2 linked regions of the Caenorhabditis elegans genome follow. The protein of the gene in region 2 interacts with the protein of the main gene of each other region in a pairwise test. Each region holds a gene or a part of one and is shown on either strand. Other genes may lie near its edges.

The links.
Region 1: the proteins of ttc-17 (region 2) and spk-1 interact in a two-hybrid assay, tested with the Caenorhabditis elegans proteins (one large-scale study listed by BioGRID).

Annotation. Positions count from the first base shown.
Region 1 is NC_003281.10:9,452,039-9,467,693, reverse strand, and holds spk-1 (Serine/threonine-protein kinase spk-1), read right to left. Parts: upstream 10,167-15,655; 5' UTR 9,711-10,166; coding exon 8,671-9,710; intron 8,594-8,670; coding exon 8,479-8,593; intron 8,426-8,478; coding exon 8,177-8,425; intron 8,071-8,176; coding exon 7,762-8,070; intron 7,711-7,761; coding exon 7,471-7,710; intron 7,177-7,470; coding exon of another isoform or gene 7,000-7,176; intron 6,629-6,999; coding exon 6,548-6,628; intron 6,502-6,547; coding exon 5,779-6,501; intron 5,732-5,778; coding exon 5,631-5,731; intron 5,588-5,630; coding exon 5,434-5,587; 3' UTR 4,687-5,433; downstream 1-4,686. Other genes in the region: baf-1 (Barrier-to-autointegration factor 1), read right to left, coding at 1-47, 103-225; B0464.9 (putative protein phosphatase methylesterase 1), read right to left, coding at 632-769, 815-1,349, 1,399-1,508, 1,556-1,795, 1,850-1,921; B0464.6 (uncharacterized protein), read left to right, coding at 2,224-2,448, 2,493-2,649, 2,697-3,197, 3,349-4,099, 4,219-4,312, 4,370-4,573; rheb-1 (GTP-binding protein Rheb homolog 1), read left to right, coding at 11,685-11,757, 11,884-12,009, 12,063-12,159, 12,211-12,267, 12,316-12,442, 12,841-12,984; F54C8.7 (AH domain-containing protein), read left to right, coding at 13,635-13,713, 13,987-14,065, 14,849-15,137, 15,320-15,472, 15,529-15,655. UniProt on the Caenorhabditis elegans protein: Required for embryogenesis and germline development in both adult hermaphrodites and males. SR-protein kinase (SRPK) that binds directly to and phosphorylates the RS domain of rsp-3/CeSF2 in vitro.
Region 2 is NC_003283.11:8,950,592-8,965,446, forward strand, and holds ttc-17 (TPR_REGION domain-containing protein), read left to right. Parts: upstream 1-6,453; 5' UTR 6,454-6,479; coding exon 6,480-6,593; intron 6,594-6,641; coding exon 6,642-6,829; intron 6,830-6,957; coding exon 6,958-7,159; intron 7,160-7,203; coding exon 7,204-7,365; intron 7,366-7,414; coding exon 7,415-7,521; intron 7,522-7,570; coding exon 7,571-7,700; intron 7,701-7,748; coding exon 7,749-7,955; intron 7,956-8,004; coding exon 8,005-8,290; intron 8,291-8,340; coding exon 8,341-8,423; intron 8,424-8,474; coding exon 8,475-8,686; intron 8,687-8,762; coding exon 8,763-8,906; intron 8,907-8,953; coding exon 8,954-9,071; intron 9,072-9,118; coding exon 9,119-9,271; intron 9,272-9,321; coding exon 9,322-9,774; intron 9,775-9,824; coding exon 9,825-10,716; intron 10,717-10,767; coding exon 10,768-11,159; 3' UTR 11,160-11,344; downstream 11,345-14,855. Other genes in the region: gck-1 (Germinal center kinase 1), read left to right, coding at 1,267-1,491, 1,871-2,036, 2,427-2,584, 2,953-3,141, 3,196-3,293, 3,347-3,551, 3,933-4,718, 4,767-4,823; Nuclear hormone receptor family member nhr-44, read right to left, coding at 11,369-11,470, 11,527-11,797, 11,844-11,938, 12,131-12,226, 12,275-12,493, 12,768-12,899, 12,990-13,078, 13,131-13,189 and 2 more; nhr-219 (Nuclear Hormone Receptor family), read right to left, coding at 14,120-14,227, 14,275-14,640, 14,699-14,794, 14,846-14,855.

The sequences.
Region 1 (15,655 bases), on a different chromosome or scaffold from region 2:
TCCTCGTCTTTCTTCAGAAGGAGATACTGTCCGAACAGTACGTAGGCCTGAAATTCAAATTTTAACATTGATCGAAAATTTGAGAAAAAAAAATCTACATACTTTATCGAAGCCTGCATCGGTGAGCTTGGTGCCATATGTTGGCCCGATCCCGGCGATGCATGTGACTTCTTTGTCGCCCATTGGCTCTCCGACGAACTCACGATGCTTAACAGAAGTCGACATGGTTTCTGAAACACAAAATAATTACATTCTTGAATTTGAAAATATTTTCGAAAATCGTAGTAAAAAGATAGTTGCGAAATAAAATAAAACTGGCAAGAATAGATAGGAAAATAGACAACGCTCCCTTTTAAACGAAACGCTTGGCGGCCACAGTTCAGCGGAGCGCGTTTGCATTCTGTCTGCGTCTCTCGATTTGCGCACTCTTTCACGAATACTTCTTTTTGACTGTAATTTTTTGGCATCTGCCTCTCCTCTAAAATAATCGATTCATTCGTATGTCGCTGACATTTATTATTCCCAAGAACTAAAAAGACGGGAAATTTAATCGATAATCTTTTCATATAAAATATTTTTTTCTTAACTTGTATAGAAATGTTGTGAAAATATTGGAAAACAAAATGAGCAATTATTGGTGATGACGTTTTCTGTATTCGAGAATCGCTGGATCTGGTGGTGATGCAAGGGCTGAGAATTTCGGTTGGGCAATTCTATGGCGGCAAGCGAATCTTCCGACTTCATCTGCAAGATTTTGTGGGCTATCTTCCTGCAAGACAATTTATATAAATTATTAATTGAGTATAACATTTACCTGAACACAATGTCCAACTTTTGGTAACACACAAGTCTGAAACTTTCCCTGCATTTGACCAATTGTGAGATCCCTGTCCAGCCGATCAACGCCCGCTAGAACAAGCATCTTCGGAACGGAACATCCCAAAAATTCTTTGGATAATCCTTCAAACCATCCTTTCCAGTACTGTTCTGTTGTTGTTAAATCAATTCGCCAAGTGTACTCGTGTTCCGATACTTCTCTAATTTGAGACGGCATTGAGACCCGTGCAGCTGTGGGATTCCTCGCTGTACCCGAAGAAAGGCACCAGTGAATGGCTTTTTCGATAGAAGGAAATGAAGAAGGCCTTGAATGTAAAAAATGAACCATTCCTCCAAGTGCTTCCATAGCGGAACCTTCGACAACATCAATGACAATGAGTGCAGCGACTTTTGAAGAAATCATCTTTGCATTCAATGTATGAATGGCCAATGCACCACCCATACTGTGTCCAACAATGCATACTGGTGAATCGTCTTCGCCGAAAATGTTCTTGAAGATTGCTCCAATATCTCTACAATATGTCGATAGAAGTTACAAAACTTATCAAAGCGAAACCTCACTTTATTTGGGTTTCTTTCGAAAGATCGTGCTCATCAGAACATTTAGTGTCGCCGTGTCCTCTTAAATCAGGTGCAACAACTCTGCATGATATTAAAGTTGCCAATTCTTTCTGAACAGAACCATTAATGACTGACACTAGAATAGAACAAAACATACCGCAAAACACGCCCATGTGAGGCCTGAATAACCTCCACCGTGAAGCAAATAGAAAATTGGACCTTCATTTCCCTTTATGTACACATTGAAAACATCTCCATCAATGTTTGCGTCCTTCTTTTCATCAAAAAAATCTGACCACGGTAGTTCAGACATTTCTCGTTTCTTTCCAGAAGTTGATGTGCTCGGAACTGGTGGTGGCCTTCCATGAGTGACCGCTTGACGAAGAAGATCATTTTGCTGAAATTGATATTTAATAAAACATCATCTTGTTAATTTTCACTATTAATGTACCCTGTGAGGAGTTGTGACATGTGACGTTTCCGATTGAAGATCCGGAAGAGTGTCTAATTTATCGTCGGACATGGTGATCTGTAAATTAATATATTTAAATATTTAAGACAATTAAATAGAAAGCTATATTTATTAAAATTGAGCCAAAAAAATAAAATTATTAAAAATCTCCGAAATGGCCTAGAAAATGCTGACATGCGTTTTCTAGGCCAACGCGCTCGTAGTACACGAGGACAAAAAGATTCGAAAATATTTTATCGAAAACTCCCTCGAAAATGTTTTTTCTGTGATTTTTCTCACTAATTTGTTGTTTTAATATAAATATTAATCTAATCGCAAGCTTTACATCAACTCTAGTGTGTTACAGGTTCACAATGACTGCGGATTCACTCCGCGAACGACTGAAAAGTCAAAATGCAGACTATTCATTACTCAACACATCACAGGCATCAAACCGGTCAGCATTTGAAGACAAAATGTCCCCAGTGTGCAAGAGCAGATATGTGAATGATAATCAGAGACTAGAACAATCGAGAATAACAATGCTGGAAACCAGGATCAAATGGCACATCATTCTCTTAACTGGCTTCTCTATTGATGTAAGAGATGAAACTATTAATTTTTATTAACCAGTTTGTTTCAGCATTTGGTGCTCAATTCATCGTTTACCTCTGCAATTCTTCTTTTCGGATTCTTTCCCTCCTACGTAAATTCTAGTATTTCACTATTCGTCATAATTTATTCATTGATTATGATTGCATCGTACGCGTTTGAGATCAAATTCCCGAATGCCCTGAAGCGTAAGATTTTCAGTTATTCTAAAAAAACTTATTCTATCGTTTTTCAGAGCTGGTTTACAACAAAGTTCAATCAAAACCACCACGTCCAGAATCATCAAAAAGTACACCAATAGTGCCCGATGCTCAGAATGTGCTCGACACAAGTGTACAAAGCAATGACCTTTCTTGGGTTGATGCTCACCGTTTCGGTACTCCATCATTCAAATCAAGCCAACTTCAACAATCTCCTTCTCCAAACAAGAAGTCACCTTCATATTCACAAGTGATGTCAAATGTTTCAGTCTCAGACACTTCGGGAATTCTGGAGGATACCAAAGGGGGATGGAAAAGCCCGGCAGTTTATGGAAAATCTAATGAATCGATTCATACAAGAAAACAGCTTGATGTGCTTCTCCGATCTAATCAGGATGAGATTCCAGTCGATATGAATACTTCTACATTTTCTTCCATTTGGAGTGTATTTGGTTTAGGACGCAGTGGTCAGATAAGTGCGAATAACACTTGGCAGGTTTCTGAGGAAATCACGAATGATGGGAATACTAACTCATGTAAGTTGCATCTTCGGTCCACCATTTCAAAAAAAAATTGTGAAATTTTCAAGATTTTTCATTACAAAATTTGGTTGGTTTGGGAAATTTTGAGTCCGTCACTCCACCAACAAACTATGCTTTAAATCATCAAATTTGTATTATTTTTCAGCATACCGAATGAAAATTGGTAAAAATGGAAGAACGGAAGTAAAAATGTTGAGACGTGGCAAAGATGGAGAGATCGAGGAAGAGGATGAAGACGAACTTGTCCGTTTGCATAAAATACTGAATGCGGCGAAGTTAACTCCCGAAGGAAAGACTGGAATTCTGAAACGAAGCAATTCAATCGATCGTGCCGGGATTCGTAGTCGGCGTAGATCTCATAGTTCACCTGAACGATCTACTAGTACTGAAAATGAAATCAGATACCAAACTGGAGAATTATTAACGGAAGATCAGCAGAAAAGAGCCGAGTTTATGACTAGAGCCTGGATTCGCAACACAATTCTCGAACCATTGGCCGAACACATTGATAAAGTCAATAAAATACTCGATAAAGAGCATGCAAATCCTCCACTTCGTGTTGGAGTATCTTCTGTTGATGCTCTGAAACTTGCAGCAATTGAAAGAGATTCTCTCAAATCTTCAGATCTTCCATTCCTTCTTCCATTCCTCAGTGTCCATCCAAATCAAAAATATCTGATCAGTCGAATCAAAGAGCTTTGTGCCACTCAATTTATGGATGCATACAAATGGAATTCGGGTGGTTCAGAGCCAACCGATGATAACGATCAAATGACACGTCTTGTTCGCCGTGAATGGAATGATTCGTTGCCAACTGATGCAGTTCTCGTATTCGACATTTTTCTGGCTTATATGGATGCTCAACTCAATTCCAATTGTCTCGTTGGAGATAGTCGGTTAGTAATTGTTTTCTGGAATATATTAGATTTCAGTTAATCTGAAAAAAGTATACTTTTATAATCCTGTTTTAACGTTTAATTCAATAAATTGTGTTAAAAATTAAATCAATTTTCAGCCTTGACCAGCCATTCACCAGCCGATTCTGTGTCAAAAATGCTCAAAAACCATCATCTGCTCAACGTACTCCATTCAGTTTCTATCTTCACATGGTATGGCTTATAATAATTCACTCTTGTTCCTCCTCACTTCAAGAAATGTTTTTTCAGGTTACAAAATCTCCTCCACACGCTGAATTTGTGCACATTGATGAAAATGGATATGCAATTAAGTGCAACGTTCTCCGTCAATCACCCAATCTCTTCCGTGCTATCGCTCAATTTATTCATTTTGTGAAACATGAAAATCATGGATATCTGGATCAGACCTCAATCGGACCATCAGGAATTAACATGACATACGTCCTGGCGTGAAAAATTCAATTCAAGTTTTTATATGATGTTTATTATCGTATCCTTTAACAGGTTTTTATTTTCTCCCGCTTTGTTTTGTTGTTCTTTTGTTACGATCTCTCGACGACCACCCACATGAATCAATTATTTTTTATCTCGCTAACGTTACAAAATTCAATCATTTATGTCTACGAGGAAACCGAGATAATGAGAGAGAGAGAAGGGGAAAGGAAGCAATGAAGCACAGTAAAGATTTGAGAAAGGTTTATGCCAAATAGTTTGGGTATGTGAACAGACGGAGGAATATAAATGAAAAAGAAATGGGGGGAAAAGATGATCTACTGTTTGAGGCTGATAGAAGCATATGATGTTGTTGGGCAGAGGATAAGGACGATGTTCGTACAAAATAATTATATTATACCAGTAGCACTAAAGATCAAAAGGCGCTTCAACGAGACGCGCACGAGAGTGGCGCTAAACGTGCTTACTGCTCAGTCACTTCAGGAAGAACGGTGGTAAAAAAGAGAAAGGATGCGGTGATTCGATGTAGAAAGTGACAGGGAGAATGGGGAGATGAAGTAGTCGGATGATTGTTGAAATCCGAAACAATAAGTTAAACACTGTCTAGATTCAAAACATAAAAGTAAACACTCTGGAACAAAAGATTGGAAAATGCTGAAAAAAAAAATTAGCCCGAAGTGTTTTCTTTTCACCTATCGTAGGCAAGAAACGAGTAAAATTTGATTGAAAAAAGGAAAAACATAAAGATGAATATCGTCAAATTGACAGGAGAACATGTTTAACTCGGGAGATGTGCAAGAGGGCGTTGAAGAGTGACGAGACGGTGATGGAAGTGTTAACAAACAGGAGGGATTCGTGCACTACTGCAAATCCAGCTGAAAGCGTTCAATGTCAGAAATGTCGGTCGTTTCATTGTTTGTTATCACCCCCGATGGACCAGGTCGATTCATGTTGAACTCCTCCTCGTCGTCGTCGTCGCTGCCGCCCGCAGACCTGCTATTGGCACTCCTCTCGCTGCAATTTGCGTTTACATCCGCGTCGGTCCGAGCTTACGAACCTCGCCGATCTACTATCATTTTCGTCACGGTAAACTTCCTGATGCTCATTTCCGTCGAACGGCTCGGGAATCAATCCATCCGGAAACATCTTGCTCAGAAGCTGTAAAAATTATAGAGAAAATATTGAACAGACAATTAATATAAAACCTCAGGTGGACAATCAGATTTTGGCGCTCTTCCTCCAAATGGTAACAAGAACGGATGTTTCAATGCAATTTTGGCCGTAGATCGTTTCTCCTGATCGAAATCAAGCATCGGACGAAGGAAACTTTCAAACTGCTGCGCGTCTTCATGAGACCACTCGTATTTTTGTCTCAAAACCTCGTATAGTGACCATGGTTTAAGTTGGTGAATGTGAAGTAAGTGTCCATTTTTGTGGAAGAACTCTCTCCAATGTTTACCCTTTTTGTAAATTGACGGTGGAATTGCTCCAAGAAGTTCGGAAATGTGCGCAAGATGATCTTCATCGCGTGAATAGTTATCTCCTTGGTGTGGTTCAAACAAATAGTCACCGGTTGCCAATTCAAAAGCCATACACGCGGTACTCCAAATATCAGCTGGAGGTCCGTATCCTGAACCGATCAACACTTCAAGTGCTCTATACTGACGAGTTTGAATATCGTCCGTGTAGTGATGATTCACCCAACACGCGTTTCCGAGATCAGCGATTTTGACGTCGATGTCACAATATGGATCACCAATGTTGGGGCCAACTGGAGGAGCAGGCAGGATACCACCTGGAGGCAACTGGCTCATGGGCGAGCTCAGATATTCGGCGGATGGTGAGGCCAAATCTCCAAACTTGCTCTCCGGATCACTGAATGGAGTCAGCGTGGTTCTATCGAAACGATCAGGGCTCCTGATTTCCACCTGAAAATATAAATGGTTGTGGCTACAAAAATGAAATATATCATACCTTGTTTCTGTTTCCATTTTCATTGACAGTATCTTCCATGGTGACATCTTCCACTTGTGAAGCGTTGAAGTTCTCCAACTCCTGAAAAAATAAAAATTAAATTAATTGATTCAGATTTTTTTCTAAACTGAATTCACAACATGTTTAAGCTTATATATGATAAAAATTAGATACAGCACTGATGTATTTTCTGCAACAAAGACGAAACGACGAAAAAATGCAGACGGCATCCAGGGCGCAGCGGCAAAAAAAACCGAAACTAAATAGTCAGTGAATTTTAAAATAAAGAAACGGAAGGAGAAATGAGGTACGTGTGAATATACAAGCGTCTTCCGGTAATTTTGGTTGCAGAGTGGAAATAAGTGTGTGAATCGAGGAAGAGAGAGTAGAAGGGAACCATCATCATGTCAACACAACCAAACACTCACACCAACATTCGCATTCAGGATCACCTGTGTCAGATGATACGTCTGATTGCAGACGCATCCAACCTGTGGATAGAGAGATGGTGGTGGCGGTGGAACCGTTCTTGGAGACGATGGCGTATTCACACAAGAACTGCCTTGAAGCAGTTGGGGAATCGGACCATTGAAGAGCAAAGATGGAGGACGCATTCGGACACCATTTTGCTATATATCAGTTTTATCGTTTTTGTTTCGTTTTTTAAAAAATTATGATTGATAGAGTATAATCTTGATTTTTTAAAAATTACCAGCGTATTTCCTCTATTATTATTGCACATCGAAACTTTTCCAATGTTTGTCAACTAAGAAAATACTTTTTTATTTCTTTTTCTATCGTTTCAAAATTAAAATGTGAAATGATATCTTTGAAATGAACAGAGATATATTCTTTCAAATTTAAAAATTCAAGTATTGGGGTGCAATACTATTAGAAGAAGAACGGTATAGTGTTCAACTTACCGGTGCATTATTGTATGCCTCCTGCAGCCCATTAGCGTCCATTTTGAGGCCTTCGAGTCCAGCCAATTCCGCTTCCAACTTCTCTCGTTGTTTTTTGGCCTTCTTCTTCATCTTTTTCTTCTTGTTTTTCGTCATATTCTCCTGAGCCATTTTCACCAAATGATCCGGTGCAGTACTGACAGCCGATCCACTCATTTTCATATTCATCTTCCGGGCAACTACAGCATGTTGAGCCATAATCTGTAAAATTTTGAAAAATTAATTCCACAATTAATGGTTTTTAAAAAATACCTTGATCTCTTCTCGGCTCATCGTGATTAGCACATTTTCAGGTTTAATATCAGTATGAATGATGCCGCACTTTTCATGCATATATCCTAACGCCTCCAGAACTTGTCTGCATATTTTCCTAACTTGTTCCAGATGAAGTCCTCGATAATTTGAGCGTATAATCAGCTTTAACAGATTGCACCCAAGAACTTCAAACACCATAGCAACGTGCTGACCATTAATTCCCGTAACAGTGAATTCATCGAGCAATTGAACAACCTTGTGGCATCCGATGTCATTTGGATCAGCACTTCGTACGGATAGCAACAACTGAAATTATTCTCGTTTTATATTAGTCTTAATTTTTTTTTCTCGAGTCTCAGAGAATGTTGCATAAAAATCTATTGTTTCAGCACTACGTTACTTCAAAACTAACCTTAATTTCATCAAGAGCCGCTTCCGTGTAATGCTCCGCTGACTTCACTATTTTCATGGCAACAAATCGTTTGTCTTGAGTGTCCCACGCCAGCCAAACCGTAGAAAAGTGACCCCATCCAAGTTTACGAATCACATGATATCTCGCATTGAATACATCACCAATGTTGACTGGATGATATCCACCTCGTTTGTAATCACGTGGATCTTCTTGTTCTTCATCGTCAGATCCAAGTTGTTCTCCAGGATCCTGAAAATAAATATGTATAAATACAAAAAAATGAAATGCAAAAATCAACTCACCATTGGATCTTGGAATGAATCTGAATGTCCACCACCGCCGCCTCCAGGAGAATCACTTCGTCCGGGGCTCACACTTAAATCGTCCAAACGCTCTTCATTAGCATTGACTTCGGTCCTGAAAAATGTAAATTAAAAGACAGTTTCTGATTGATATTAGTAATACTAATTTAGTTAATGGAAAATAAATGTTACTTTTTGTTATTTCTTGGAATTATAGATGGACGAGGAATAGAAATAGAAGCTGAAGCGCATGCGGTTCCCAGATCATACTCGAACATCTGAATTTCGATATCTTCTGAGTCGTAAGAGGTAGCACTGTCGTCCCCGTCGTCGCCCGTTGAGGAAGACGATGTCGACGAGGAGACTGAAGAATCGATCGTCCCTTCACTCTCTTCACCCTCTTTTGCTGACCGCATTTCCACCGGAAGGTTATCGTATTTGGATGTGTCCTCATCGACAAGAACATCTTTTTCATTTTTATCGTCGTTCGAATGACACGACGCCAAATCTTCAGTTGCTGACTCTTCTGCTTCTTGTGATTCAATAGAGCTTACCGAATCAATTGATTCTTCGGTAGCATCATTCACATGAAAAGAATCATCTTGAGATTCAACGTCCTCTTCATCTGAGGCAGATACGCAAGAGTTCATGTCTTCATCAGAGCATCTTGAACCATCTTGTGATTGTAGCGACTGTTCATCGTCCTCATTCGAATGATCATTCTCATTTACAACACTTTTTTGTTGTACAGTTTCACCCTCTTCGCACAACGTTTCCGGTAGTTTACTGACTTCGGAAATGTTAGAGGTAACCATTAGAGCGTCTGATATATCGAAATTCGACGCGACGCCTCCATTATCTTCCGCACTAGCGAACACTAAATTAACTTCTGTCTCTTCATTTTGTGTACTCGTATTTATTTCTTGGGAAGAGATTTCTTCTTCTTCATTGGTCGAATTTTCTTTTTTATTTCTTTGCTTTACAAAGAAATAAAATCGATTCTGGTTGACCAAATCAACATTTATATGACAGGTTACGTCTGCAGATGATGCCAAAAGCTGTGTACAAATATCAGTTTCAGAATACGATTCGTGGTCATTCAGTTCTTCCGATTCCTCTGAATGAACACGAAAACGGCGGCGTCTCTGAACGGCTTCATCTTCGAATTTATAAAGTCGTTCTCGATGCTGGCTGAAGCCATTGAGCCATCTACAGAATAGAACCACAAACATGAATATGACAGTGGGGAAAACGTCAGTTAAGCTGAAGGAGCCGCCTGCTTCGACATCATTTGTTATACCCGAGTAATCGATAGCTGAGAGCGAATGTACTGCTCGACCGGCCAGCCTGACAGAAGAAAACTGGATTCAAAAGCAGGCGATTTTTTTTGAAATAGCGACCACGTAGAAGCGAGTTGCGACGCTTTGAGAGTGGGAAGGGGGATAAGGAAGATCAGCGGCGCGAGAAGTGTCTCGAGAATATTGGCGGCGGCCAACGAGGCGCGAGGAGCGACTTGAAGAAAACGCGATCGGTGTGAGAAGGAAGAGTGTTCAAGTGATAGTGATGTAATGATTGCGGCGCCCAACAAGAGATAGAGGAAATCCTGGGTCTCTCTTCCTTGTTTCAATCTTCAACTTGTCGGCCAGGTCGCGAAGAGGAGACAGCTGACAGAGAGAAAAGGCCAAGGTGAAGGAATAGAGAAGATAGAAAAGAAGGGACGAATGGATGGATGGGTGGATGGATGACGGACACACGAAGGTGGGATCATTTGAGACGAAGTGAAAAGACAACCAGTTGCTGTCATGAGAAAAGGACGATGCAACGATTACACCAAACAACTTATAATCATTTTGGTCCCGGTTTCAGCGATGTAATTAAAGCATATTAAAAAAAAAAACTCAAAATCTCACCTTTCCACGTGATTTGATCCGTTTGTTGTAACTGTTCCATTTTTCAAATTTGCGTTTTTCTCACCCGCTTGAGGAGATGTAGGCGTGTTTGGTGCTGTGGGCTGAAATATGAAGATTAAAAAAGCTTAATGGCAGAATTCTATTAAACTCACATTCAATCGGCGATATAGCCAATGTATTGAATGCAAAATACTAAGCATGCTCATAAATTTTCACTTTGTTTTGTTTTAAAACTAGTGTAAGAAAAGAAAATTAGTGGTTATCTCTACCCCTGGGTCATTAGCGGCTGCCACTGGCTCATAATGAAGCCGTTCTCATTTTACTTGAGGCAAAGGAGAAATCTAAGTTAAAACTGATGTGAGAATATATTAGTGGAGGGCTCGCATCCAAGAGAGTAAGCTCGGAAGTGCGTGAAATGAAGGGAATGCGACAGAGCTGTTTGAAGTTTTCAAATCTCTAGAGGCCATTAGAAAAAAAGAGTATTCTTTGGGTTCGATTTAGTGTCAGAACAGACTGAGCTTTAATTTTTCGAAAGTGTAAGTGTTTAGAAAAAGGGAAAACTTCTGAACAGAAACCGAAAAATGCTCACCTTTTTCTTATTGGTCTTCTTCTTCCTTTTCTTATTTGGCAGTGGTACTGTGCTGTTTTTTTCTGGTCCGCCCATATTCTACACTTAAACACGGTTCGTTTCACTGAAATTGATACAAATAAATAAAATAGGACTCATCAAAATTCGGGGAAAACAAGAAAACACTTCAGAGGAAAATGTTTTTGAGTTTTTAAAAGTTTGCGGAGGTTAATTGAACAACAAAAATGATGATAAAAAGATTATATCTGCCCGTACAAACATAAAATATAATTCTTGATAAGACCTATGCCAATTTCGAATGATAATAACGCTTTCAACGCGGAGGGCTCAAATTGGCGGCCGTTTTGCGCCAGAAATATCGATCTCGAGTTTGATCTGCAGGTTTGCTTGGGTACGGTGGGTTTGGCTTGCTGCCAAGAAGTGTATCATGCGCCTCCGTCTCTTATTTTCACACGCTCTCTCGCCTGCAATTCTCTATTTACAGTTGGTTTTTAGTTCGTTTTATCAGGAAAAAAGCGCATATTATTGCAAAAGTACATCATTTCTTTGTTTCTACATGTTAAATATTAATAGAGAATTTAAAAATAATGATGAGTGTTTAAAAAAATAATTTTTTTACTTTTCCCTTTTTATTTTATTTATTAATTTTTTATACTTCTATCAAAACTCAATCATTCAATATTCAGAATATACTCATTTTTGTGAAGATGAGCAGTTCGCTGCAATCAAATCGTCAGAGTCTGAATCGAAAAGTGGCCGTTATGGGATATCCTCATGTTGGTGAGCGTTTACGACAACTTTTTTTTGTAGAAAATCAAACATACCGGGAGCAAAATTGAACAAAGCAATGAAAAAATTAAAACAACTTTATTTAAACAAGGACATTCACGTTGAGAAACTTTACAGGAAAATCGGCGTTGGTACTTCGTTTCACACAAAATATTTTCCCTGAAAGGTATGAATCAACAATTGAGGATCAACATTCGAAGCACATAGCAGCGTTTCACAGGGACTATCATTTAAGAGTCACTGGTAAATTTTATCATTTTTTGAGCTTACTGAAAACTGATATTAGATATTTCCAGACACAGCAGGACAACAAGAATACACAGTTTTCCCGAGAAGTTGTTCCCTTGATATTAATGGATTTATACTTGTTTATGCAATCGATGATAGAAAATCGTAAGACTTCCGTTTTTTCTTTATTTGTTTTATTTAGATTTATAAATTCAGATTCGAAATGTGCAGCAACATCTATGAAAAAATCGTAAGAACCTATGGTGACACAAGGTATTTGAGCAGAAAGTAAAATTGCAGTCAAAAATCAAGAATTTCCAGCATTCCAATTGTAATTGTTGGAAACAAGACGGATCTCAGCACGCAAAGGGTCGTTCGAGCAGAAGAAGGTGAAGAACTTGCTAGACAATGGGATGCGAAGTTTGTCGAGATCACGGCCAGAGAATCGGTGAGTTGAATTTTTTTTAGAAAAAAGAGTACTACATACTTTTAAATTGTGAAAATTTAAATGTAAACTACGAATACATATAAAACTTTTTAGAAATTTTAAACTTATTTATGAAATAAAAAGTTTAGATTAAATGAGATCTATGAAAAAATCATCCAATAAACATTCTACGGATCGGTAATAAGATTTCTGCCGGAAAATGGAAAACTGCGAACATAGTGTGTTCATTTTTGCGTCTAATATGTGTCCCTCCCATATTTATTTCGCAATTTTTCTTTTTTCTGCAACCTCTCTTCTCTCTTCTATCTCCGAATAAAAAAAGGGAAAGCGTCTGCACCTCTCTTAGTCAACGTGTTCCTACAGGTTTCGACACGTTGCTTCATCCTTCCAATTTTCAGAATCGAGTGCATGAGGTGTTCGAATTGCTTCTCCGTGAGATAGAAATCTCGCGTGGAAATCTATCACCAACGGAGCGTCCAAACGGTAATTCACCAAAAAGGAATCCGTTTAAGGATGATGGAAAGCCGTGTAGTATCAGTTGAACACAGTTTTTTTTATTATCAATTTGTACATTGTCTCTTTTCTGTTTCTTTTCCCCAAAATATCTAGGCTTCCTTCACTGCTAGTGCCCTATTCCTTGCCGCTGGTCAATAATTATCCGCCTTCGCTCTTCTTCGCTTCCTCACTTTATTCGATAGATGCGAGACAAGATAAAAAAAATGAGATCAGGAAAACGTGGCTTCTTCTCTTTTCCTGAGAAATGTATATATTGTTTTGAAATTTGCGGAGAAAAAATCACTTTCAACTGGTCTGTTTCTTTCATTATTTTGGTTTTCTCAACTATTTGCTCAACTTTTTTTCCCATTTCAAAGTGCCTTACACCGGTTTACATGTCAACGTGATTCTTGTGAAATGGCTTTTTCCTAGGTATATAATTCCTTCACAATCATGATTTCTTTTTGTCAAATCTCCACTTTCATCCGGTTATTGTTTTGTTATTTTCTGTTTGTTTTCTTTTCCCGAATCTGTTTCGTTGTAAATACATCAGATCTTTTAAACTGTTAATGAAAATAAATCTTAATAGTTTTTACTGTTTTTCCTACTCATTCCACTCCTAATCTACCTGGTAGCTAGCCAAATTCGTATATTCGAAGTCATTCTTCTTTAGTTGTCATAGCGACTGTTTCAGATGATGACGGGCTCAACGGCTTCACCTCCTGAGCCATCTGCACCGCCCGCCGATTCACCGTTCGCACCGGTGACGCAAAACGGTTCGTTTGCCACGTGTTTAGGGATGTGCGGCAAGATTTTTCGGCGAACATATTTACAAAACTGCTTTTAATGTGAAATCATGGTAATCCGTGTATTGTCATATTCTAAATAAGCACTTTCCTACTTTTTCCGAAAAAATTTGCCACACAGCCATGCACGTTTTCACGTGAAATGCATTTTTTTTCATTTTCGTTAAATAGCATTTAAATATTTATTCCTCAAGAATAAATTTAATAAATACTTGAGAATGAATCGATATTTTTGTTTTCAAGACTCGTCACCAACTTCTGATTCGACGGAAACAATGAGCAGAATACCAACTGGAATAAAAGTTCCTGATGTTGTGGCCAAGTAAGTATTAAAAACGGAAAGAAATTATTTTTCACGCTTTTTCCGAGTACACGTAAAAGTCAAAAATATTTTTGAAATGTTTTATTTCGACATTTTTGAGCGCGAATCTTCTGTTTTGGTATTCATTATGATGCAGTAAGTTTTCAGGAATTGGCGGCAAAACCGTAGATTCGAGCGTTTTCAAGCATTGTTCGTCGTTTTTTCTAACTTTTCCCGTTGCTTTTAATGTTTTTTTAAAATGAAAACAAGTACAAAAATGCTCGAAAATCTACGAAACCGGCAAGAATAATTGAAAACGTTCGAATTTCTCGTTTTGCCGCCAATACCTAACGAGACCCAACGTTTAAAGGCGGAGCATTTTCATTTAACTCTAGAGCATCAATTTCAAATGGCTCAGTTTTCTGCATTCCTGTAATAATAAAGTTTTTTGGTACTTTGACATATGTTATCTTGGCTCTTCTTCTTGTCTTGTTTACCTTTGGCTACCGGTAGATTAAAAACCCGTCTTTTTTCAATATTTACTCTGTACATCTCATCCTCACTTACCTAAGCTTGCCCCTCCTCTCTACATTTTCTACATTTATTTTTTCGACCTAATCTTTTTTCTGACTTTCAATGGGTCTTCTGTCGAAGAAAAATAGTATTAAACTGTATAGGCAAAACCGCCAACCACTTACTACGCCAGTTTCGAAACGTCCATTGGAAAAATGCCCTCGGTTAGATAATTTCAGTATTTATAACTCAGTAAACTTATTTAATATTATAAATTAATTAAATTTTCAGCATCGATACGGCGCAAGTTGCTGCAAAAGTTGAGTCTTTCAAGAAATGGACAATTGGAACGTTTAAAAACTCGAAACAACAATTGCTGGAGCATATGGGCAAAATTGATAAAACTGTAGATCCAGAGTTCGAGGCACAATGCGAAGTTCTAAAGGATATTCATCGACGTTATGGTCTCGTCGTTGCCGCCGCGAAAAATTTCAGTCATGTTCTCACTCAAATGGCTGAAGCTGAGAAGAAACTTTCGGAATCATTTTATCAATTGTCAATGAAAGAAGAACAGATTAAGGCAAGTTTCAAAAAAAAAACACTTGAAATCGAGTTTCAAGCGCGCTCCATGGCCAGAAGTTGGGTCTGGTTAGGAATTTTTTTGAATGTTTTCATTTCTAAATTGATAAGATAAAATTTTAAAAAATAATTTGTTTCACCAATTTCGAATTTAAAATTATAAATGTAATATTTCTGTTTCAGGCACAATGCACCATGACATCAGAAACTATGAGAGGAGTTGGAGAGCAGGCTGCCTCATTGGATGCATGCTTGAGATACTTCATTTCTTCTATGGAAACTGTCTATAACCAAACAATTACTGACACTTTACACACAATTTATAATACTGAATCGGTAGGTTTCAACAGAATATTTGAGAGAAGACATTATATAACATGAAATAATTTTAGGCTCGCATTGAGTATGATGTTGACCGAAATGATATCTCAGCTGCAACTAATCCTCCACAAGGACAACTGACGAAGAATCTCCCAGTCGGTGCAACCGAAAAGTGTGAAGAGAAAAAAGCAAAGTATG
Region 2 (14,855 bases):
TTCATGACGTTTGTCGTTTTATTGTCAACTGCAATCGCCACAAAATATTATCTAGACGTTTCATGACTCTTTATGCTCCGGTTCGATATTTTTTCTTGGAATGGACACGTTTTCCAGCCCCACCCTTATTTAATCTCATACATATGTCTGATTCCACATGAACAAATCGAGTATTGATGCTCCAAAATCGCTACACTTGGGTTTCCTAGCCTATCCCGCTTCTTTCCTTCCCGCACAGACCACCACAGTTTCGGAATGTTTGAACAACACGGTGTGCTGCTGTTGCCGGTGTGACAGCGGCCCCCCGATGGACGGGAAATATCGAGAGATGGTGAGAAGCAGAAATAGAGAAGAAATTGTACGGAAGAGTACAGTTTGGTGGTGAGAGAAGGCGCAAGAATCGGACGGAGGTCTAGTTATGTTTGTAGTCCCAAGGCGTGTATTATATTCAGAAATGTGCTTATACGTCTTGTGAGCATTGCTTAGCGCTTAAAGTGATTTTAAATCGTTCGTATAGCTGAAATTTAATCGAAAATTAAAAATTTTCTTAATATATATTGAATCTCCTCTCTGTGTTCATTTTAATCACCTGTAGAAACGCATAAAGAGTAGAAAGTGAAAAGAGGGCGGGCAAGTTAAGTGTTTGATTCATCATTAGGCGCAAATATAGTTAGGAGCATAAGAGGAGTGTCGTGTGTCTAATCAGCAACTAGTCATACTCTGCAATCTACATACCACGCTCATTTTCTATCGATTTCCGTGTCTCTAACACCGTTCTGTTTGAAAAAAACTGTTTTTATTTTGGAGAAAGAATTTTACTATACAATTCAGCTTTCACTATGACGTTTGCTAATTCTGTAAGTTTTTTTGCTTCATCTTTTAACTTGCTTCATAAGCATAATAATTTGAATTATAATTGAAAAATGTTATTGGCTGTGCAGCCCTTTCTCTTTTTCTCCGCAAAAAATTAGTTTTAATAATGGTCTCGATAATCTTTTTTCTTTATCGAAGAAAATATTAAATGATCACCACACTTTAAAAATGCATTTTATTTTACATCCTCGTATAGTTTTCAGTATGTCTGTCGATATTTTAATACTATTTGAGTCACATTTGGGTTTGTGTACATGGGACAGTCATAAATATGAATCACGTCTCGCATATCGTTTTTTTTGTAACTGGTTTTTCTAACAGCACAAAATCATTATTTATTATTTCAATACATTCTACAAATTTTGAAAAAAAAAACAATTATTTTTTTTTCAGAAACTGGATCCTGAGGTGATATTCACAAAGCAAGAGCGCATTGGTCGCGGCTCTTTCGGCGAGGTTTATAAGGGTATTGACAATCGAACTGGACGAGTTGTTGCCATAAAAATCATTGATCTTGAACAAGCAGAAGATGAAATTGAAGATATTCAACAGGAAATTCAAGTGCTCAGTCAATGTGATTCACAGTATGTCACCAAATATTTTGGCAGCTTTCTCAAGGTATTTTTTTTATAAATGAAACTTTAAAAAATCTAAATTGTTTCTGTTTTATTTTTGAAAATTTTTTAAGAAATACAACAAAAAAAAGATAATAAAACCAATCTGAAACATTTTTGAGCACCTATTTGAGTTTTTTTTTCAATTACACGAGCAAAATAAATTAGAGCAGCTTTAGTTCTATTTATATTGATAAACTTTAGCAATTTGAAAAGTAATCAATTTATAGTCACAATCACAACAATTTTTCATGAAAAATTCAATTAAAGTAATTTCGTTTCCAAATTTGAGTTATCATTATTTTGGCTCAGCATGTTCCTCGTTAATTCACTAGAGTTTACCATTTTAAATACCATGTCTTACAATTTTTTCTATTTTTCAGGGATCAAAATTATGGATCATTATGGAATACCTCGGTGGAGGCTCAGCGCTCGATTTAACTAAAAGTGGAAAGCTGGACGAAAGTCATATCGCTGTGATTCTTCGCGAAATTTTGAAAGGTCTCGAGTATCTGCATAGTGAAAGAAAAATCCACAGAGATATTAAAGGTGAGCTTTTTTAGTTTAAAATAATTTCCAAATTAAATAAAAATTCGAACATTTTTAAATGGTTTTTATTTCAATTTATTCTATGTTTGGGATTCAGGAGCCAACGTTTTGTTGGACCGTCAAACAGCGGCTGTAAAAATTTGTGATTATGGTGTGGCAAAACCACTCGACACAGTTTTGAAAGCGAATACTTTTGTGGGAACTCCGTTTTTTATGGCTCCTGAAGTGGTTAAAGGCGAATATAGTATTGAGGTACTTTCAAATGATGTCCTCTTTCCCCACATATTGTCGTCTTTTGTGATTGATATCTAGTGCTTAATCTGTTTCCCGGGAAATCATAATCACCTATTGTATTACAACCCTTTTGTTCACCTTTTGTTCTGTTTTCAGCTGCAAATGTACTTGTAAGTGAGCACGGTGATGTGAAGGTCGCCGATTTTGGAGTTGCTGGACAATTGACTGAAACTGTCAAAAAACGTATCACATTTGTCGGATCGCCGTTTTGGATGGCCCCCGAGCTCATTAAACAATCAAGTTACGACTATAAGGTAAAGCTTTCTTCCTTTTATGTTTCCTATGTAAATTCACCCTGGTTCGATTAGTATCGTGAATGAAAAAATTACGGGAAAGTATAGTGAAACTTTGGAATATAATAAGGTATTTTTTGGTTAAATTTATTGTTAAAGAAATTATTTTCTGTCAACCTTTTCGAAGTTTCACTGATTTTTCAATTATTCCAAAATTCTTTGAATAAAAACAAATTAAAGCCAGAATAAATCAAGTTGAAGTTCGAAGGAGCCTTTCTCGATCAAAAATCCTGATTTTCCGAAGTTAGAACATCTAAACTTTTCTGTAATTTTCTCATTCACCATACTTCTTATTTCAACCATATCACAATCTAAAATATGCAATTCAGGCTGATATCTGGTCATTAGGAATCACAGCAATTGAACTGGCAAATGGTGAACCTCCGCATTCTGATCTTCATCCAATGCGTGTATTATTCTTGATCCCGAAAAATCCACCTCCAGTATTACAAGGAAGTCAGTGGTCGAAACCATTTAAAGAGTTTGTTGAAATGTGTCTGAATAAGGATCCTGAAAATGTAGGTGTTCAAATGTTTGGTGAAGTTAATTTTTAATTTTTTTGATTCTTGCAGAGACCATCCGCAAGCACTCTTCTTAAACATCAATTTATCAAACGAGCCAAGAAGAATAGTATTCTGGTAGATCTCATCGAACGAGCAGCCGAATATCGGTAATTTATTGACCCATTTTCACATTTTCTGAAAATTTCCTATTTTTCTTCAGGTTGAGGACGGGAGTTTCAAGTGACAGTGATTTAGACGAAGATTCTGATGGCGGAGGTGGAACAAGTAAATGGGATTATCCAACGGTCCGCGGGCCACGTGTTTCAGCAGATGATGATGGGACTGTACGACAAAGGACTGATAGGCCAAGAGCTCAAGTTGATCGAAGATCGCCTAGTGGATCTCCGGGTGGTACCATAGTTAGAGTGAGTATTACACTTTTGAAAATATTTTAATTTTATTTCTGCCGAAATGATAAAATATTATAGTTCAAAAAAACTAATGTTCTTATTTACTGACAAAAAGCAATGCAAATTGATGTCGCCCTGTTGTTAAGAAAATTAAAGCGCTATCGCATGTTAGAAGCCCCACAGTATTCAATTTTAAGCATACCTGACTAGAACAAAAACTAGAAGAACTTTTTTGGATTTACGATTTTCAAAAAAAACGACAAAAAGATATTCCTGGGGAGACCATTTTTCATTTTTTTAAAAAATAATTCATTCATACTGATGAAATTACTGTATCTATTAAAATTAAGCGATCTTTTTTTCTATACTCTTTTTTAAAAAAATAACTGATTTTAGGGAAGTCCACAAGTTGCTGCAGTTGCCGAACAGCTTCGAAATTCTTCGGTTGGCTCCTCTGGTTATGGATCAGGCGGAAACTCGGCATCGTCTCAATATGCAACATCATCATTGCCTCAATCTCATACAGCTTCATCTGGAGGTGCTACTACCATCACGCTTGGAAGTCCAAATGGAAGTCCAACATCTTCACTTGCAAGAACACAATCCATGGTATCACCAAGTGGACAACGATCCGGTTCTGCCCAATCTTGGGAACTTGAACGTGGAAATCGACCTATGAGCGAACGGGTATCATCGCAAGTATCCCCGTCGAAATATAACCAACACAGGACATCATCGAGCAATGGTGTGCAAGGTGGAAGTGGTGGTCGTCGAGAATACATCAATGGATCTGGATCTGGATTAAATGGAAATAGTTCTAATCAGAATCATTCTGAATATTCGGATGCCGTGCGACAACGTGGACCAGGAGGGTCCGGTGGTAGACTTGATTATCGTGAAAGCCATGTTCCGACATCGTCACAAGAAAATCTGAATCATGGTAGAATGTACGGGTACGGAGCGCCACCACCATCAAGAGAAGCTAATAATGTTCCAATGCCTCGTGTGAAAGGTGCCCTCGATTGTAGTCTTCTTCCGGCAATCGAACATTTGTCTCGAACACGTCATGCGACTGCTGCTCTCGATCAATTGAGACACGTTTTTCGAGATGTTGAAGATTCTTGTCCTGGAATCTGTAATGAGTTAATCGAAGAGTTGATGCAAAGAATTGCAGTTCCTCAGGTTTGTGGAAGCTCTTTTATACTTTTAAAACAATTATCTGACATTTAGGTGAGCCAAAGTGACCTCGATGCTGCCATTCGCCGACTGACAACCCCACCATCTTAAATTTATAATCAAAAGACTTGTATCACAACATGTACTATCGTCAATCAATCTCCAACCTGTATGATATCCAAAGCAAATTATCCCCAACTTTTGTGATTTTTCGCTATCCAATTAAGATGGTTTCAATTTCGACCCATTTTGTCTGGAGTTCTTTTCGAAATTGACTCTTATCGAAAAAACAAATCTCTGTGTTATCCTACTTTTTCCATCACTTTTCTCCGCACGGTTCTCATTATCTTATGCGCTTTTCTTTTTCATTTTGAAAATATTTCTCATTTACTCCCCTTCTAGTACTATTCGGCCCCATTTTCTCCCAGGAGCAAGTTCTCCACATATCATCACGATTCGATCATTACTTGTAAATATATCAATAGTCGATTCGAGATTCATTGATTTTTTTCTCGAATTTCTCATTACCCTTTTCACTTTATTTCCAAACGATTCCGAGTGTTTTCTTCCAACCGCTCAATTTTCCACCTACCTAATTGTTCTTTATTATTTTAACCAAACTTTTCGATGATCACCGGTCTCATTCTCCCCATTTAGGTCATTTTTCTCATGTTTATTTTATTTGTGTGTGTGTAGTTTTAATAACTATTTCTCTTTTTTTCATTTATAATATCTCTCATTGCTCTACATATGTTCATATGTAGAGAAAAGAGAGATTACTATTTCCGCCTTTATCACTTTTTTTTCTCATTTGTTTAATTTAAACGCGGTTATTCCTCTTCACTTTTCCCTCCCACCCTTTTTTTGCTCCAAATCAAAAAGTCTTCCATTGACTGGATTTATTTTCATTAGTTCATTGATTAGTATTGTATTGGCAGTGTCCAGAGAGACAAACATGGATATGCCTTTGTGAATAAACAATTTAAAATCATGTCTTATTACCTATTAAAAAATATGTGTTACTACTTAATCAAACTGCTCGAGTATCTTGAATTATGAATAACGAACATGGAGAGAAAATGGTTTGTTAAATATGAAATTTGTGAAAGAAGAATTCTAGGTATTTACAAAGATCCAAATGGAATCAACGTGAAACAATATTAACAACTATCCTAGTTGCGCGTAATTGGATGCATGTATGGTGTTGTCTATGTCTCTTCGTCTGTCGTCATGGCCTTGCCCCGATTCATCGTTTTTTACGTCTTCCACCATCGCTCATTCGACAGTCTCGTTTATTTCATTTCCTTATCCTGTCGTTTCCTCTTCTTCTACATGACACATTTTGAACGAACGAATTTTACCGTTCTCTTCATTTCATATAATTTTCAACAAAAAAAAATTCAATTCATTTTTGTCACCCAAATCTCACCCAGTCCAACACCTTTTTATCGTCTGTTCCCTCTATTGTATGTACACTGTCTTCTCTCTCTCTATCTCTTTTTGACATCAATTTATATCGTCTTCTCTGTCATCTACATCGTCCCGTTTTCTTCATTCAAATCTCGCCACCATCCCAGCTTCTCTTTCTTTTCGGCTTCTTCTCATATTCCCTAATCCGAATGACGCGTGTTCTCTTTTGCCGTTTTTCGCACCGTATTCTCAAAACTACAGATTCTGACGTCACGCTTAGATCTCTTTATTGATTTTTACTTATTCAAATTAAATATCTCAAATTTTACAGAGAAAAAGGTCCGTCGGGTCGGGCCGATGAATCGGAAATTCTTCGCATGGCTTTTCACACTTCTCATTCTCAACAATGATGTAGTTCTATCAGCATATCACTGGAAAATTAGTGAAGATGGAAAGAAAATCCAGGCAGTTGTTAGTTAATTTTTTTTAAATAAAACTATTTGAACCAAAAATTTTCAGCCCGACACGAGGTACCATCTAAAATTACCGGGATCGTTGACCGACTTCATAACTCAAGTGGAAAATGTAAAAGTCGTCGATCGGCAGGCAAATGAGCTGCATGGATCGATGGGAAAAATAAAAAACCACGAGAATTTCGATAATCCAAAGTTTGAAGAAGACTTTAGGCGACAAGAAGAAGCATGTGTGTGAGTAATTTTAAATAACGGTAATTAAAAATATTTAATTTAGATAAGTTAGTTTTTGGTAAATTATCATCAGTATAAAACTCATTTTTGGGCAAAATTGTTCAATATTAAATTTCCTATATTTCCAGAAAATCGCGTGGAATACGACTGCAATCCGACAGTTTCCACACGTCTTTCACCGCGGAACTGTGTCCCGAGTTCCATGAGTCATATCAACAATATACTGCATTTGTCAAAGAATACTTTGGATCACCACCGGACAGTGATAAACGACCGCCTAGATGTAATTATTGGTTTGAAGCAGTCAAGATGAAGGGTCAGAATAATGTGGTAAGTTGTTTCATACTTTAACAACGAATCCAATATTATTTCAGGACCTTGGAAAAAGCTTACAAGATAAGTATGACGCTGATGACGACATGTATCTGAAAGTTCTTGACTTGTACTTCCCAGGATTCGCCAAATTCACGCGAGGATCCGAAGGAATGTCTCGCTTCGGAAATATGTTGTCAAGTATGCTGAGTCACGCTGATGAGGTTTGGATTAATAATTAACAATGCGATTTAATAAAACTAGAAATTTCAGAGAGTATCTCGCAATGCCTATCTTCATATGGCAGCTGCTGCCTACTGGAGAGCTCAAGGAAAGATTTCAGATGCGTTCACGTGCTATGCAACAGGGATACATTTTGTGTATGTTTAAGCAAGGAAAATCTGTAAAAATTACATTAAAACATTTCAGAAACGACGAAAATCGAGCACCCCACATCGGTGCATTCCATCCATCACATGCAGAACATACTATCAGATTGTCTATCGCAACTCTTCTGAATAGAGCCGGATACTCTGTAGAAGCTCATATTATTCTTAAAGTAAGCTCAGATCCATCTAAAAGTATTATATATGAAATCCTTTTTCAGCAACTCACTTCTACTAACACTGTGGCATGTTATAGCGGAATGATGCATGCAGCAACTGGAGATGCTTCAGTTCTAACTGGTCCGGAATCAGCTATCGACTATGATACCGAACAAATATCAATTCAATTGAAATTGACGAATAAAGAGCGAAAAAGCATGTTCAGCAACACTTTCTACAATTATGCAAAAGCAGCAAGTGATTTCAAGGTATCAATTTTTATTCTCATTTTTGTTCCAGAATATATACTTTTTTCAGGCTGCAAAAAAAGAACACAATCAAAAGGATGGAGAACTTTTCGATCAATCTTTTGATTCTGTTGAATCAAAAGCTTCTGTAATTTCATGTCATTTGAGGCTGTATTCAGCTCTTGAAAAACAGAAAAAGAACCTTGAAGAGCTAGTCGTTGAGAAAACAAATTTTCAAGAATCATACAATAAACGAGTTGAGATGAACTCAAATATTTTATCACTGATGCCATCAGCAGAAGCACGAGCTAATAGTCTACTTTTCTATGATCAAATCAAATATGGTGCACATCCCCGTTAGTATTAAATTTGAGTTATGTTAAGAAATCACAAAAAAAGTTTTCAGATCGAAAATGCCAGAGAGCGCAGATTAATAGATTCCCTGCCACAAATCATAAACTGAACTGGGCAACCACGATGATTTGCTCGGTGAGTGTTTTCTATACTTGTTATCCGAAGTAGATCATATTCGTATTTCAGCTATCCTGTACTCCTGAAAAATACGAGGAATCAATGGCGCCGCTGCGAGAGAAAACTTTACGAAATCGTCCGGCGATCAATGAAACTTCGTGGAAAGTTACAGAAGTGTATCCTCCAAATCGAGCATTTGAGAAGACATTGTTCGATATTTCAAGAAATAGTCAGCAGGATGGATACTTCAGAATGATAGAACCCCGCTTCACTAATAAAGAGTTCGTTTTCACAAACATTAAACACTTTATCAAAGTTAAAAACTGATAAGATTAAAAAAAAAAAACTATTTTTTAGAATCGATGAAAGTGTGGATCGATTTTGGAGACGAGCAGATTGGCCGAATTCCGTGGATTGTCAAGCTGTAGTGTCGTCATCCAATCCGTTCCGAATCAATACTTTCCCTCAAGTTTTTATTTCACCAGAAAATCGAGGATGGCTGTAAGTTCATTATATACACTGCTTCCATCAAATATGCTGAATTTTAGTGTCTCCGAACTGTTGACAACTCACATTGGACTTCAATCAGCCGATTCTCTTCCTCTTCCATGGTTTGAACCAAGATGTGATTTTGTAAAAATGGACGATCTTCGAGTTTTTAGTGGAGTGAGTTTTTATTAAGATTAATTTATCTTTATATACACCTTTTTCAGTTTGAAGCGATTGAGCGACTCCTGAATCCAAGATTTGATCGAAAATCCGAAGGCTATGCTGAAAAAACTTTGAAAACGACATTTGTCCGTCTAGCAGATCGTGTCATCGAAGAACATGAAATGGCTGCAAGAATTCAACTTTTGATGAAACATGTAAGTTCTGAATCCGCTTTTCATTTTTATTGAAATCACCTTAATTTTAGACCATCGGTCCAAGATGGGTTTCTCTGAACTTGGCAGGTCTCTACTGGAGGATTCAAGGAAATCCACATCAGGCTACAAAATGTCTTCTTGGTGCGTTCCTTGACAAACCTGAAGAATCATTTGTTTCGATTGTTCAACTTGCTCAAGTTATGCTCAAATCAACTAGAATGGTCAATGACGCACACGGGTTTCTGAATCAACAGCTCAATCTTCTTGGCTACAGTGAACCACTTTTCCATTATGTACAAGGACGTATGAAGCTTCTGCTTCACGATGTGGACAAAGCGATTCAGCATCTTAAAGATGCAATGGATAAAGATCCGAATAATCTGGTAATCCAAGAAGATCTTCTCAAAATTGCATGCAGTGGAAAGTCTACAAAATCTGCCATATCATCACAGTTCCCTACAGTATGCTGCTCGCCAGTTGTTCAGAATGCAGTTTGCATCAGGGTAAATTCAATTTAATAATATATCCTTTAATTTATAAATTGGAATTTCAGCCACGAAAAGATTCCGAAGAACAGTGCTACATCGTTGAGTCATCGAACATTCCGGATGCATCACCACAACTAGTCTATCATCGATGCAACGGATTCTATGATGGTTTCAGTAAGAAAACGGCAGATTATGCGAGCATCGTCTCACCATTTTTACTCGTTTTCAACACTATTACTCCACGGAATGATGTCACCAATTGGGTTAATCAAGTAGATGGAATTCAAACAGTTGAAAGTACTGAAATGCCTCTTGATTATGGTGGATGGAACTCATTTTTCACGGATAGACCTGCAGAATGGTGGGACAGTGCCACAAATGAGATGAAGTATATACTTCCGACGAAAAAAGAAAAAGAAGTTGATTCATGGGAAGAATCGTGGGAGTCAGATCTAGCTGAAATTCCGGGAAAACCTCTTTCCTACCTGTGGATTCGAGAAAAGTCAATGATGATTCAGTACGACGCCAAATTACCATCTGAGCTGCCAAAACCATCAATTCATCAAATTCGACGTGGAGTTTCACTTTTCCCTCCACCACGTGTGGCAACTATGTCTTGTAACGGAGTGGCCAAACCCGAAGCAATGTTCGAAAATGCTCCATCCACTTGGGTATCGTTAACCGCCAAAGGAGAAGATATTGAAAAATATGTTGATTTACGTGGACCAATGCCTGCAATGGCTTCTCTTCAACCAATCTGCCCTAATATGGATAAATACAAAAACTCACCCCTTCTTGGACTTGGTCATATTCCTGCTTTTGCTCTTAGCGACCAGTTCTTGTTCTACCAACCGGAGAAGGCTCTTGCTGAAGCTCTGAAATCACTTGGCAATGAAAGAGATACTATCGAACATGTAGCTGCTCGACTTCACGCTGCCATGCTTCACAGTAATGCTAGTATGTTTATTAAACAGTAAGTTTTTCTTATTCATAACATTAATTTTTCAGAGGATGGTCATGTCAGTTGGGTACTCTGTGTACTTTCTTCCCTCTACTGGAGAGTCACTGGAAATGCTGAAAATGCAATTGGATGCCTCCGATGTGCTCTTCATACTGCTCCACCACACATGAGAGACGTTGCTTTGGTGTCCCTGGCCAACATCTGCCACCAAGCTGGTCTCTTCAACTCTGCTCTGATCTCTGCCGGTGCTGCTCTCAGTGCTTCTCCTCGTCTAGTCGCCATCCATTTCACACTTGGCAACATCTATGCGTCAATTGGAGATTATCAGAGAGCTCTAAACTTCTACTACTCTACATTATCACTTCAAGCAAACTTCCAGCCAGCGAAAGATAAAATCCGCACGATATATTGCCATGCTGGGAAAGAATTCGAGTTTTAATTGTTGAATTTAATTTGGTTAATTATTCCCTTTTCAATTCGTTAATAGTTATAATTTTGCCTCATTTCGTGCCCACCAAGTTTGCTTGTTCACTTTCCACATTCTGTCTTGTTTTCATCAAAACGGGTAAATTATAAATTTCCTCATTTTTTTCAAAAAAGTTTATATAAATACATATTATGATGATCAAGATAATCTAATCACATGCATTAGCAAGAAAACTGAAACATTTCAGGATGAGACAATTTCACACGAAAAATGTTAAGTGTATTGGCCAAGAAGATTCCCTGTCGCCTGATTTCCAAATCATTCTGAAAAATTCCAAGTATTATAAATATGATTTGAAAAGATAATTTTTTGAACTCACCTTATATTGCCGATTCAAGCTTAACAATTTGGTCAATCTGTATGAGTATCTAGAATATTTATCCTTTGCGAGATAGTATTTATGAAGATCGTTGGCCAGAACATCTTGAAGACGATCAGTTATTTCTTGAATTCTTCCTCCCAATTTTTGGCCAGTCAAATGGAAACATAAATTACAGAGCATAAATGACAGTTCTACATCACTTGGGCGTAATTCCATTAATGCATCAATTATTGTCTCACAAAACCATCGCGGAAGGGGACCGATGAAGCTGAAATTAGTATTGAGTAACTGAAACAAACTGGAAAAATACTTACCTTCGTACTTCTCTATCAGTTGCTTCAGAAAACCAATCACGATCAATTTCCAGAGTATCGTAGTTAATTCTTTGCTCTGTTCCGTATATAAATTCCTGAAAACATAAAACTTACAAAGCTTTAAATATACTTAAAATAGTCCAACATAACCAATTGTCATAATTCCAAAAAATTCTAAATTCCATATCCAAAAAATTTCAACTTTCAAATGTTTCAATCAATGGTAACTGGCCACACACATGTAGTGGAAATTTTTGATATCATTTTTTCAAAATTATAACTCTTACTTTATCATCACAAAGCTTCATTCTCCGCATCTCGGCTGTCATTGAAATTCTCTCTAGACGAATAAACAGATGCCACATACATTTCAATATCACCATCTGAAAATTATACTCTATTAATTGAAATCTACTTTCTCTTTCAAAAACCTTTTCCTCCTGTTCCAATTGTCGAAACTCTTCAAAGTGCATAATCCATTCACCAGCTCTTCTCATTCCCTTTACCCAGTTGTCCCATGTTTCCATTTTTCCAATTTTTCTCAGTTCAGGAACACTTTCAAATAATTGCTCTTTTCTTACTTCCTGTAATCCAAAGGCTAGTTGTTCCAATGAACTCTTCACCTTAACCGATTTTTCCAATTTTGGAATCTGGAATATGTAAGATTAGAAAATATTTCTGTTGAGAACTTCTCTCGATGTTGGACAATACCTCTGCAGTATTTATTTTTTAACAGTACAGTTTTCCGGATAAACATATCATCACCAGCCCAGCTTTATTTTCGAAGGGTCTTGAAATTCTTTTAAAAAAAACAGGCTACTACAGTAACCCAACAAAGTAACCCAAAATGTACCAAAAATTATAATTTACGTATAAACACACATGCATCTTATTTTATCACCGAATATATTATTTAAAACATACCCTTTTGAGAATATAATCAGCATCTTTAATGATTGGTGTAAGATCGAAAAATGTGATATATTCAATGTTCTTTCCGGATCCAGTTGACGTGTATGTTGTCACAAGTTGTTTTCCCACGAATCGTTCGACAGACTGAATAACAAATAACATGAATAAGTTTTCATATTCCCAAGTGTTGTTTTCATTTTTGAAAAACCGTGATAGAAATCAATAATAACTTACCAATGGAACAATTGATTCAGATGTCTTCCTTTTTCTGTCATCACGAAAATTATCAGAAAATATAAATCTATCTCGATCCCTTTGAATGTCTGAAAATTGAAGATGTTTAGTTTTGTAAAGCTGAAATGTTCAAAATCTCACTGTCTGGCTTCATTCCAAGGGCAAAACATTTATCAGATCTACATCGCTTGCAACTCCATCTAAAATAATTGTAATTCAATCAAATATGTGAAATTTTTCAAATACCTTCCCCACTCATCCGGAGTACACTTGTTATCTCCTTCTCGACATGGAAATTGTTGCTTATGAGTGACAAATACCCTTCTAAAAATTGACAATTAACTAATTGCACACCATAAATACTACTTATTACCTGAAGAAAGCAGCACAAGCTCTACAGCTGTCAACTCCAAAATGATTTCCATGAGAGGGTTGGAAACATACCAAACACTTTTCGGATATTAATTTAGGAGTACTAGATGCTGAAGATGATGTGGAAGGTGATGATATAGAATCCATCTGAAAGTTCAAAAGTATAACTGAATTTTCATAAAAATACGGAAAGTCGTGTGAGAATGGAGGTTGCCATGAAGACCGACACCTTGGTTACCAACATACACACAGAAGTGCAACAAGGCCACGCGGAGACAAGATTAACCTCCTCAATTCGGGAGATGACCTTATGATACCCCGTGTTTGGACAACCCCGAATTCTCAATAGTGTTGTGGCGGAAAATAAAACGGCGGAAAATCAATAGTAGTATTTACGATACGCGTTGGAAATGTTTGATTTCCCGTGCCGCTGCAACGTTAAAGAGATACAGAGAAAGAAACATTTGTAATAAGCTTCTAATAATGTACTATAAAAGACTGGTGAACTTTAAAATTTCGTTAAGATTGACGGAGATCCAAATGAAGAAAATCTGTCTGAAGACATTAATTCAATTGAATTAGGCAGGGAGAAGACGTCATTTTATGGTTTGTAGGTAAAAATCACAGGGCAAACACATGAAAGTAAACGGAGATCATGCGTGAAAACACATCATTTAGGTTTATAATCGCACATTTCAACCAGCTCATCTAATTCAAGACATTTATTTTCCGCAATGAATTTAAAAAGTTCATGTACTTTATTCAAAGCTTTGAAATCGAAAGAAATCCGGATGAGAATACTTAATTCGAAAGGCATCAAATAGGTATCCAAGAAAGACTATCTTTCGTTTTTCCCCCATTATGGTCTGAAACTCAACAATTTATATGTCATTGCTGTACCAATGCAACTTACTTTATACTTTTCGTTTATCTTTAAAATTTTCAAAAGTCTATGCGAATATCGTGACATTCTATCTTGTTCAAAATAGTAGACGTGCAAGTTGTCGGAGAGTATTTTTAGAAATCGTTCCATGGTTTCTTGCATCGGACCACCTAATTTTCTTCCAAGATGATGAAAACATAGTTCACAAAGAATATAACAAAGTTCTTCATCTGTGGGCTGTATTTCCATCATGCACTCTGTTAGCCCTTCACATAACATTTCGGAAGGATCGCCTAAAAATGCCTTCATTTGAGCATTGGAGAGGTGTGAGAGCCAATCGAAATCAAATTTGACAGTCTGAGTATTCACAAGACTGTCCGATTTGAACGCATAATCCTTAAAAATACCAGAAAAGTTGAAGTAATTTTCAATTGTTCAAATAATGGCTAGTTACATTTTTCTGGCATTTATTTGCCTTTCGAAGCTTCGCAGTCATTCCACATCTTTCTAATCTTGCGAATGGAAACCACATGCACTGAACTATTGTCATCTAAAAATTAATTGATTCAAAACGATTTTTCAAAAAAAAAAAAGGTCTCACTTTGTCATCG